3 linked regions of the Drosophila melanogaster genome follow. The gene in region 3 interacts genetically with the main gene of each other region. Each region holds a gene or a part of one and is shown on either strand. Other genes may lie near its edges. The genes, in order: erm, mud and pros.

The links.
Region 1: of pros (region 3) and erm, changing one suppresses a phenotype caused by changing the other (phenotypic suppression), as found in Drosophila melanogaster (one study listed by BioGRID).
Region 2: of pros (region 3) and mud, changing one suppresses a phenotype caused by changing the other (phenotypic suppression), as found in Drosophila melanogaster (one study listed by BioGRID).

The regions. Positions count from the first base shown.
Region 1 is NT_033779.5:1,952,808-1,956,561, reverse strand, and holds the start of erm (earmuff), read left to right. Parts: upstream 1-2,008; 5' UTR 2,009-2,236; coding exon 2,237-2,248; intron 2,249-3,682; coding exon 3,683-3,754.
Region 2 is NC_004354.4:14,245,659-14,249,412, forward strand, and holds the start of mud (mushroom body defect), read left to right. Parts: upstream 1-2,073; 5' UTR 2,074-2,461; coding exon 2,462-2,500; exon of another isoform or gene 2,501-2,566; coding exon 2,567-2,741; exon of another isoform or gene 2,742-2,877; coding exon 2,878-3,462; exon of another isoform or gene 3,463-3,532; coding exon 3,533-3,639; exon of another isoform or gene 3,640-3,716; coding exon 3,717-3,754. Other genes in the region: CG32599 (uncharacterized protein), read left to right, coding at 1-106, 172-720.
Region 3 is NT_033777.3:11,326,702-11,330,455, forward strand, and holds the start of pros (prospero), read left to right. Parts: upstream 1-1,778; 5' UTR 1,779-3,255; intron 3,256-3,754. UniProt on the Drosophila melanogaster protein: Homeodomain protein that controls neuronal identity. As a transcriptional factor, regulates the expression of ftz, eve and en in a subset of neuroblast progeny and modulates the transcriptional activity of other homeodomain proteins such as Dfd.

The sequences.
Region 1 (3,754 bases), on a different chromosome or scaffold from region 3:
GTGCAAAGATAACTACAGATAGAAAAAATATGTAGTAGTAGTAAGCTTAATATTTTTCACTCCGTTTCTAAATTCTCTTTTGAAAAATGTTCAACAGTTCAAATGTAAACTATTACTGAGACTTTTTCTGTTAGTGTATAAAAGCTGCATAGGCCGTGGTCGTTTTGTTTGTTGAATGTCCAGTTGGTTGTTGTTTGTGCTGCTATTTTCCCCTCGTTGCTGCCTTTTTTCACTGCGTTTATTTATTCAACTAAATGCAGATTGCACATTTCAGTATGTGCCGTTCATTTAGCTTCCAGTTAATCACGCTGTTTTGCCCGCTTTTTGTCAAGGATAATCACCGGATTGTTTTTGCTTCGTCGAACGTATGCTTACTAAAATATTGGAATTATTCACACAATATTGAAGCTTGTTAAATTAGGCAGTAGAAGACACCTATAATAGTATTACGAATTTCCATGAATTTTCATGTTAAAGTAGATTTACCCGTCGGCATCTCAAAGGAATCAAACAAATAGTTTACAAATATTGTACAATAGTTTTTATGGTTGCCACATTCAACCCATCCAATCAACATTACTCCAATGAGGAAACCTAATCAACAAAGAGCTGATATTTGCATATCGATTTCCCCACACAAGAGCCGCACAACAAGCCAGATTAACGGAAAATGCAGTCGAAATGGCGGCCATAGTCCTTGAAGGATCCACTAAAACCCCCACGCTCCCCGTCGGACTCGCCGAAGAGTTGTGCTTTTGTGTGGCCTTGCAGCTGCAATTGCTGAACTGCTCAACTCCAGCAAAAGCAGCCATGTGCCCTGCATTGCCCAAGAAAAGGTCCTGGACCGTGGTCCTGCAAACGGATGGAGTTGGTGGAGCAGGACGACAAGCACTGCCAGAGCAAACAAAGTCAAGAAAGCCGCGCTGGAGATGCCATCAAAATGAATATGGGATTATATTTAACTAGTGCTGGCTGGCGATGCAGGGGGCTTCAAATCAAACAAATGAGAAAGGTGCACCTAGAGAACAGGGAAGCTAAAGAATAATATAAAGTTATCTAACCAATTTTATACAATTTACAATCTTTAAAAATTGGCGATTGATGCTTATCCTGCGACTAACATTCCTACATAGAATAGGGATTACTGATTGGATTACGGGTGAATTATTTTCTCTGTATATAGCAAAAAAAGATGAAGAATTGGAGAGAATCAAAGAATCCTTGCCCGCTGGCGGGCTAAAGGTGAGCAAACAAAGACGCTGATAAAACGAAATGCCAAAACGACAATTGAAACGCCCAACAAAAGGCATGAGCTTTCCAGGAGGGGGATGCGCTGGGAACGGGGAACGGGGAAAGGGGTGGGCCAGTGAAAAAGTCAACTCGAGAGGCATCCACGAGGCCGGTGGCTGCCATTTCTTGGTGTCTGGTGTCGCCCCATCCAAATCAAGTGTGAACGGAATACGGCCAAAGGTGGCCCATCCATCCATCCATCCATCCATCTCTCCGTCCGTCCATCGGTCTCTTTCCAGCAGCCGAGTGCTACGCATAGTGCGCTCCCTCTTTTGCGGAACCTCCTCCATCTCGTCACTCCTCTATGTATCATCTTCCTGGGCTCTTGAGCTCTATCTCTATATAAATATTTTAGGGGCGGTCTCTGCTCACTGCCTCTCTCTTTCGCCGTAATATTCCAATTCGACATTTTGTCTTTTCATTCATAATGCAGTCGCAGTCGACGGCGACGTCGGCGTCAGGACATATCCTCCAATCTGAACGTGATGATTAAGTTCTCCTTTTGCCCGTCGCTCCCATCAATCCATCTCGCTCTGTCGCTCGACCAGGACGTCTGCATCCATCTCTCTCTCTCCCTCGGCATGCATTTCATCTCTCACTCTCGCCAACGGCGGCAGCACGCAGGACTCTCGGGGGTTGTTTCGCCAGGATTCACCCCAGCACTCGCCGTGTGTCCTTTTCATATTTCTTAAGGCCCGCACCGTTCGCTGTTTGCCTTCATTCCGCTTCGGTCGCTGATCCTGTGCTGAACGCGTCCTGTTCCTCGCGTCCCTCGATTTGCATTTAAAAAGCGTATATCCTTATCGACGAAACAAGTGAACTTTAAATAGTAAAGTAAAAGGACCAAGTTCAATTTGTGTGTGCCAACTGTTGTGTTTTGCCTCTAACAAGTGGAGATCGGCCGCCTGCCAAGGGAACTGGATATCCACATAGGCAGTGCCTGAATATGGTTTACTTTGTACGTATTCGATACATAAAAACTTAATTTATTACTCTGTAATTGCAAAACTCCGACGGGAAAAGGAAAAAACTATAAAGTACAAGTTCGCTTTTTCATATTAGAAGCATTTCGAAGCTATTTGCGTGACGTTCGTAAGAAAAGCAGGCATTTACATAGGTCTATGTCCTCTTTAGATAGTATTTCGTCTTGTATCTTTACCATCATTCTTAACACTTATGATTTTGATTAACCCCATCAAAAGCCAGCTTCATCTCATAACTTCTAACATGTGCTAGGGCATAGCCACTTGTTCAACTCAAGACAAAGTTTCCAAGTGCCTGTGTGCTCCGTTGATTGAATATTATTCCACGCACTTGGTTAATAAGCTCGATGTGGTTCGCACTCCCCAAGTGGCGTTCGTAGAGGCAAATTTTGAAGTGGCCACTAGAACACCAACATAATTCGGCTGCTTAAAAGTGGAACTACTCGTTCGTAGTAGTAGTAGTTTGGCACCCGGGAAACTTTGGGATCGAGGGCTGACCGCCGCTGCCTCCGGGTCAGCGTGTGAAATGGTTGCCGCCTCTCGTTTAATGAGATTAAAGCGCACTTTGGAAGGGAAACTGCAAGATGGGCGAACTGCGGACCCAGATGGGAGCTGGGCCTGCTGAGGCGTCAAATCAAGTTAATTAAAAGCGGCAAGGAAGTCGGTAATCGCACCGGATGTCGCACATTAGCCACACTCGAGGGCACATGGGGAAGATGGAGCCGGCGAGGCGGCGAGGCGGCCTTACACCTCCAGTCGAGTGTAAGCGATTTAATGAATCTCACATAAAGCCAAGACCCGCGCCAAAAAATTCGCATACTGCTTACTGGGCCTGTGTTATGATTGATGGCAATATGCTGGCGAAAGGATTGAGGTCTTTGTTTGGGTTAAGTGGAGTGTAAGCCAGGGCAAAGCACGGGTTAAATGCAAATAGCGTGGTATGCAAAATCGATCGGGTAATATTATGGAACGCACTGCGGTTTGCGTTTAATTGCAACCCGCTGGCTGGCCCTGAATTATCCTGCGGAAATGTCCTGCCGCTGGGAGCACGCCCTCCGCTGGCGTTTGTTTGTGCTCCCGAATTGCCAACGCATTAGTTGCACTTGACTGATCAGGCGGTAAATAGTCCGTACAGCTGCGGTCAAAACAATAGGGACCACTTGAAATCCGAGCAACTTGGGAATAGGTGTTGTTATTATATTCATAATTATAAACCGAAATATATGCTTTACATATATGCTTTTGAAGGCAAGAAGTTTTTAGAAAGGTATGGGAACCAGAAATGTTATTTATCCTAGTTATTTCCCCCCAACTGTGGCCACAAACAATGGAGGCGTATGCCTTCGATTAATTGATAACCCGTTGCTTAGTTTGCATACTCAATTTGGCTCTTTGTTCGTTTCTTACAGAGTCCGCGTGGCATGCAACCGTGTAGTCCAGCGGGAGAAATCGCAATGATGCCGCCTTCGAAGAGCCCCGTG
Region 2 (3,754 bases), on a different chromosome or scaffold from region 3:
GGAGAACTCGCTGGCTGGCGTCCTGGTACCGGCGGGCATCATGCTCTCTTACGGCGCCTGGGTGGTCGTCCTGGCCAAGAGGGACAAGCACAGGCGTGCCATGTTTGTAGGACACACCAAATACGAGGAAAGCCAATGAATGATGCTCAGCGATGCTCTTTCATTTTCCAGGAGCGGCACATCGAGGAGGTGACGCTAAAGAACAAAATCGAGCTGGAGGAGAAGCATGCGCGCCACGCGAAGAAGGCGCAATCGCATCATGGTCACTCCGGCACCGATTCCACGGGCAGTGCCTCCAGTTCGCTGCACTACGTCAACGAGCTGCTGCCCAACGGTGGCGGTGAGCACCGCAAGAAGCAGCGACGCCATCGTCACAAGGAGCGCTCCGTGGAGCGAGATGATCATCATCAACGTAGCCATCAGCGCTCGCATACGCCGGACATTGGCGTGCATCGTGGAGCGCCCAAGAGGCCCAGTTTCCGGCAGAAGCTCTTCGGTCAGACCATCGCCCATGTCAAACTGGTGGAGGCGCAGAGCGATAGCACGGATTCAGCTGGCGCATCTGGTCCGGGTACGAGATCAGGTCGCAGTACGGTCGCCAGTCCAGGTGGCCAGGCCAGTGCTGCGGCCAAGCTCAATCCCGGCGAGAAACGACAGCGACTACAGCGCCTGGACACGTTGCCACTGGCGCAGGTGGTGCGTGTCAGCTCGATTCCGTGAGATATAACCATCTGGATGGATGTACATATGCATGTGGAAGTGGAGTAGTTCTTTCTTTTTTTTTTTTTTTTGGGGGGGGGGGGGCGGAGGCCCGACCTCGCCATTGTGTCGACTAAATAAATGTATTATAAAAAATATAAACAGGAAATTCGCCTTTATAAATAGACGGCAATCAAAAGGAAGGAAATGTTCCGATCTTCGTAACGAAATCAATGCTAAATACGTGAGAATTGTATTGTGCACATAGTTCAGCCCATCTGGCTTTTGAATATTTTCAAAATCGTGTGTTTACAACTTGATTTAAGTGAGTTGTAAAACTAATAGTTATGGAATAGTTTAGTTCGAGATTTTTTGGCGAGGTGTTTTCAAGTTGAAATTCAAGTATTGTAATTATTGATTTTCGATCAAGCTGATGGCTTTCTTTTTGTAACGCTTAATTTAGACAATAGTTTTTGAACCGCTTGTCGTTTTCGCACCACCATATTGTTTATTCTGCCTACTTCCTTACGTTAAAATGTTTGGTTTTTTCTCTGATTTTTTTTTTTTGCTTTACATGTACATCAGCGGTGCATTTCCATTGTTTGTCCGAATTAATGGTGGCGTTATTTTTAACGATCAGCACTATAACTAGATTTTCGGCTACCCTGTGCTCGTGTGCGTGCCCAGAAACGAGGATGGGTGGGTGGCAATTCCGGGCACATTGTTTTCGGTCATTGATTATTGTTATTACAATTTAATAGTTTACATGTGGTGGGCCACACTCGGTCGCTATTGGCCATCGGATTTTGGAATTCCCCGCCAAAATAGAAGCCACTTGGTTGCTTGTTTACTTGGCAGGAAATTCGCATTGTAGACCAGTGCCGCCATCTATGTGTGAGATTGGGGTAAACACAAAAGGCGGTTTCAATTATGGAATTTGCTTAGTTTTTCAGCATAGCGGGATTCAACTAGTTTTTCCATACTTGGAAAATTACATTAGATAATATATATTAATTACATATTAATATATTAATTGATAATTTCAATTGAAAATATCACTATATACTTTGGATACTTTGGTATTAAAGCAACAGGTTATTGCAGTTGGAGCCGTTCCACTAAGGCAGGAAAGCAGTTCGTAACAAAGTAGATTGAATTATTTATCAAATTTCATGTGAAACATTTGTTTCTTGAATTATGCAATATGCCATGGTGGAAACACAAGCCACTTCTTTCGCACAGATATCGATAGCAGAAACGCATCTAGTGGACGCGGCCTGGCTTGCAGCTGGAAAGTATCGATCGCCCGATAACAATACCCGAGCGCACCTCGCATGGCGTCGCGCTGCGGCATTTGAATTAAACGACGCGCCGCCGAAACGAGAAGTTGTTGCATTTTTTCGTATCTAGTTACCTATGTTTTCGTTTGTGGAACTGTCAAAATTGTTTGTTGCCCTGCGGACTTCAGTTTAGTCATTAAATTTTCATTGCTCGTTCGGAGCAGTTGTGCTTCTGGTTGGAAAATACAAAAAAAAAAACAAATATTCGGTTTTCGTGAGCATTTGTGCTAAATATATTTTTTGTTTAATTGCGTTTTCGATCGAAACCCGTTTGTTTCGCGTACATTGTTTTGTGTGCTGTGCCGTGTTCTGGAAAACATCCGTTACTGGATGCCAACAATGATAGTGTGATTAGTCTACGCAGACATTGAGCATACATATACGGGCGCACACACACCCATAAAAACGCACAAAAATTCGCAATGGACACGCGCAGCTGGCGCAAGGTCCTACTCCAGTGGGTATGTAAATCTCGCATTGCGCATCACGCACTGGGAATCATTTAGATTAACCCAATTCTGCGGCAGATTGGCGAGTGCCACTTCATCGAATCGAACTACATTACCTTGGAGCAGTCGGATCTGGACTCCTTCTTTTCGGTCTTCATTCAAAAGATCCAGGAGACGGAAAATGTTAAGGGGAAGAATGAGCTGCAGGATCAGCCCACAGAACAAAGCCCCCTTGTGCAGGAATTCCTAGCACGTAAGTTTTTTTTTACCTATTTTCCTAGTTTCTCATAGGGTATAGGGAAACATTAATAAATAGTGAAGCCTTAGTATGAGAATTTAGCGCACTTCCAACTTCATGAACCCACTAACTTGTAAATTTTCCCATGCAGATAACTATCCCGAGTTCATTGCACAACAGGATGACAAGGAAGTCGATCTGCCTTTGGATTGCCTTTACGTTTACACGCTCCTGTTGCATTACTCGTGCGTTAAGAAGCCCAGCTTGTTCTTTCACAACATCTGCAATAAACTGCCGGAGCTGACACAGACATGCATCGCATCCTTCTTTCGAGAGACCGTGGACAGGCTGTTGACGCGCGAATATCTTAGCCAGGCGATCGCCAACGTTGCAGTTGTTTACCGACAAGGGGTTTCGACCTCAGTCAGCCCATGTCTTCCCAGCAGCAGCCTGAGTCCCGATCCGAGGAGCGATGATGCACCATGCCCATCCACGCCCTCATCGTCATCGTCACAGCCGTCGAGCAGCACGCCACAGTTGCGCAATCATCGCGAACAACTTCGCCTGAATGGCTGCGAAATGCCACCTCCTTCGACCCCGAAAACGGAGCTACTGGAGCAACGCACCAAGGAGCTGCGCGGTATTCGTACCCAGCTGGAGGTGGTGCGCTACGAAAAGGCCTTGCTGGAGGAGCAGCAAATGGAGAAGGACGAGCTCATTAAAGTTCTCAACAAAGGTTAGAATGCTTCGAATGCATTACTTTCATAATTTTTTTACAAGTAATTTCATAATCGTTTGCATTTCAGAGAAAATGATGGCCAAGATGGAACTAGAAAAACTAAGAAACGTGAAGCTAACCGAAGAGCACCACGATAACGAGAGCCACCACATTATGCCATATGAGTTTGAGCATGTAGGTAGACTAGCGCAGATGGTCACAGGTAGCGAGCGGGAGCTATAAACTAATAAAACTTTTAATCCTCATTTCAGATGAAGGGATGCCTTTTAAAGGAAATCGGTCTAAAGGA
Region 3 (3,754 bases):
TGGAGATTGTGGGTGCTGCTGTTCCTATCCGGCCTAAACTGCGCCATCCCAGACCTGTGCCCGCGTTCTATCCATTTCCGGGAATACGCGGCGTATGAGTAACGAGCGCGATGCGTAGGATTAAATGCAGGCGCTGCCTAGTTCCGATCTGTGCCTCCTCGTCTATATATCACTGATATACATATATATAATATATATATACATATATATATGTACATATATATGGACACATATATCTCTGAGCACGTACATAGAGAATTGCAGTGGCTGTCGCTGCACTCGCCCACCAATTTTTCTCCGCTTTTTTGATGCGCTTTCCCAGAACCCCCATGTGCATGAGTTAGTAGGAATTTATGCTGGCTCTATTATTGTTGCTCTTGTTGTCGCGGATCCTTTTTGGCGGGGTATGAGTGCGGACGACGCTCTACATTTTTTTCAGCTGCAGTTTTCTTTGCTGGATATTTTAATGCCAACTCTGACGATATACCAATACCAGTGCCAATAACCAACACCCATAAATGGCGGCAAAATAAAATAGGAAAAAAATGTGTGTTGCATTCGCGCAGGGGCAACATAGAAAACTTTTACGTTTCGCTTAGGGTTTTGCTTTATTTTTTGCTTTCAGGTTTCCCTCTTCTTTTTTTGCGATTTTCATTTTGTTGCTTTGGCATTGCAAATGAAAACGAAAAAATTGCATTTTCCCCGCATATGGATGTGTGTGAGAAGCACGAAATCAAAACAAAACATGGCCACATGGCGGGTCCTGTCGGCTGGTGGGTGTGCGGATGGGATGTATGGATGCATGGACGGATGGGGCACATGAACAGTGCACAGCCAGGAGCAACAGCTCCCACAGCTGCCACACTACCTCCCTGCAGATGTATCTGTATCTGCGAAATGGTATGGTCCATCTGGCGGGAAAAGGGGCTGGGTTTTAGGTACACTTAGGCTCGATAGCTGCAGTTTTTCGCCACCCAGTCAGCGAAACAGACCACCACGCAGTTGCCCAGTCCAAAAACCACCTCATCAGTCGTTTGGGGGTTTGGGTGTTCCATACTTTTTGGCGTTGTTTGATTTTTAGGCGCAGCAAAATGCGTTTTGCTCTTGATTGAAAGTGTGAAGAGTGTGGGGCAGCATGCCAGCGTGTGTGTGTGCGATATGTGCATTGTCCGTGTCCTTCTCGCAGTGTGCATGTATTGGCGAGGACGCCGCTGCCGCTGTCGTCGCGCTTTGTTTTGATTTTTCGCGACTGAGCGCGCGTTGCTGTCTGTTTCTCTCTGTGTTTTTGGATTTGTCCAGCAATGCATATGTGCGCCCACTGTTCTAGTGGGTGTGTGTGTGTGTTTGTGGTTGTGTGCGAGGTTTGCATGTATATGTACACTAGCAGCTAGGAGCGGCGCTGACGTCGCAGTCGCAGCAATTTTTTGCGCCAAAGCCAAACCAAAAAGGACGAGGACAATTCGGTTGGCGCTGCAGCTGCGACGTAGCCGCGGAATTTTTTTGCGCGTTTCGCGCCCGGCCAGCGGCCACTTTCATCCGTATCCACGTATCCAAGTATCCACATCCGCATCATCCTACTCCATCAGCGTTAGCATCAGCGGCCGAGGGGCTGGCGTCCCTCATAATCAACGCGCTGCAGCGACGACGCCATCGACATCGACAGCGGCTCTGGCTTTGGCTTTGGCTCTGTGACTCTGGGGCCCGTCATCGTTAGCAATTTTTGCCAGGACATTGCAACAGAAAACTGCTAAACGCGAAACAAGTTGCGGCGCTTTTTTCTGCTCCTCGGGTTCTCGCTGTCTCCCTGTCCTGGCCTGTCCTGAATCGAACTGAGCCGTGCTGCCAGGATCAGGCAGCAGCAGGCAGCAGACAGCAGGCAAGGCACATCAGTAGGCAGTGCAAGGCAGGCAGGCAGGCAGTCGGCAGGCAGGTCGCCACTTCTCGCAGACTTCTTCGCATCTGCATAAATCAAACCCAGAGGCAGTAGCAGAAGCAGTTAGCCACCCCAAGAAAAAACTCTACAACAGAAAAATACCGAAAAACAAAAGAAAAACAAACAAACAAATAGAAATAGAAAAGAGAGACATCGAAGCAGAGAAACGATAGGAGAACGAAAAAAAGTGCCAAGTGAATGTGAAAGTGAAAGTGTGTGCAAAATGACTTGAAGTGCAAGACTAGACACCTATGTACGTACCACCTACACCACCCAGCCTGGAACACACTACGTATACGCAATGCGGCCCAGGCGCTCATACGCCCCGTTGGCCCGCCAGCCCTTCGAACTAAGACTCGGGCTGGGGCTCGAACAGCCATCGCTCGCCATGCCGTCTTGAGTGCAAAAAATTACCCGCCAAAAACCCAAAAACACACACGGCCGGCTTGCGCCAAAGACAATGTAAGCGCCGGCACTAGAATGTAGAGCAGTTTTTTCTTCATTTCCCAAAACTAACTAACAAAACCAGCCAGCCAACAACAAATAACAAAATAGACAAAGTTACATTTTTACCAATATCGATAATATTAATCACTTGATAATCAGCGCCAGTCAAACGCAACATTTCGTTCGTAAACAACAACTACAACTAGCCACAACAAAGCAAGTCAAAGCCAAGAAGCAACCAAATAAGCAGGCAATACCAGTCAGTCCGTAACGTCAGCAGCAGAAACCAACGAAAAACCAAAATAATAAAGTAAAACGATTGAGTAACTCCAGTTTCAGTACCGCACCGATTCCGATTTGAGCAAAAATTCAAGCGTCTGAATTTGATTTCGATATCGTCTGGCCCGTTCCGTCTTCAAGTCTCGGCCAAAGGTTCGTCATCGTCCCGACACACTCTCAGTTTCTACAAATTCAGACGTAGATCCTTAGTTAATTCACCTTTTGTATTGTGCATTTCGGCAAGCAAATATTTTGGAAAGGATCCCCAGAGAACAAAAAAAAAAAAAGGCGAAGAAGAGCAGAAGTCAACACTCGAAATCGAAAACTACGAAATTACCTGAAAATTTTTAAACAACCAAAAAGTCTATGAATGCAACAAAAATTACACGCTAAATTTTACAAGTGCAAAATTTTCTTATAATAATTTATCAAAAAAATAAAAATAAATTTACAAAAAAAAAAAAAATTAAAAAAGAAGCATAAAAAAACGGAACTTAGTGAGAAAATTAATCAAAGTTTAGAGAGAACATTAAATGCAAACGGAATATCAAAAATTGTTGTGATGTGATATTTTTTCGATGTACTTTTATTTGAGGGTAAGTAAAGATCACTATCAAAAATTCATTTTTCAACCATTACTCCATTCTTTTCATCAATCATTGACTCATTGGGGTTTATTTATCTTTTCAGAATTATAGAATTTAGATAGAGAAATAAGGGAAATAAATACATTCGAAGCGTATATTTTAAGATCTAGGTAATTTAAAGATGTTCTGATTAAGAAAAGTATCTATTATGGGATGCTTGATCATAAGAAAATGATTAACAGTGAGCATTTAACTACTGATCATTTTTGGAAGAGAACGAGAAGAGAACGACATTTAAGACAAATAGTAAATGGATAATATGAGTGTGAAACATTGAGCAGTATTGATTTTCATTAGAAAAATTAGGAAAAGGTTCATTCTTTAATTATAATGTTATCATCTAAGTTAAAATCAATTCAAAGATATACTCTTTTTAAGGCACAAAATCTATTTCACCAACGAAAGAAAGCAGGGCAGTCAAATTTTAGTAACTTAGCTAAACAGCATG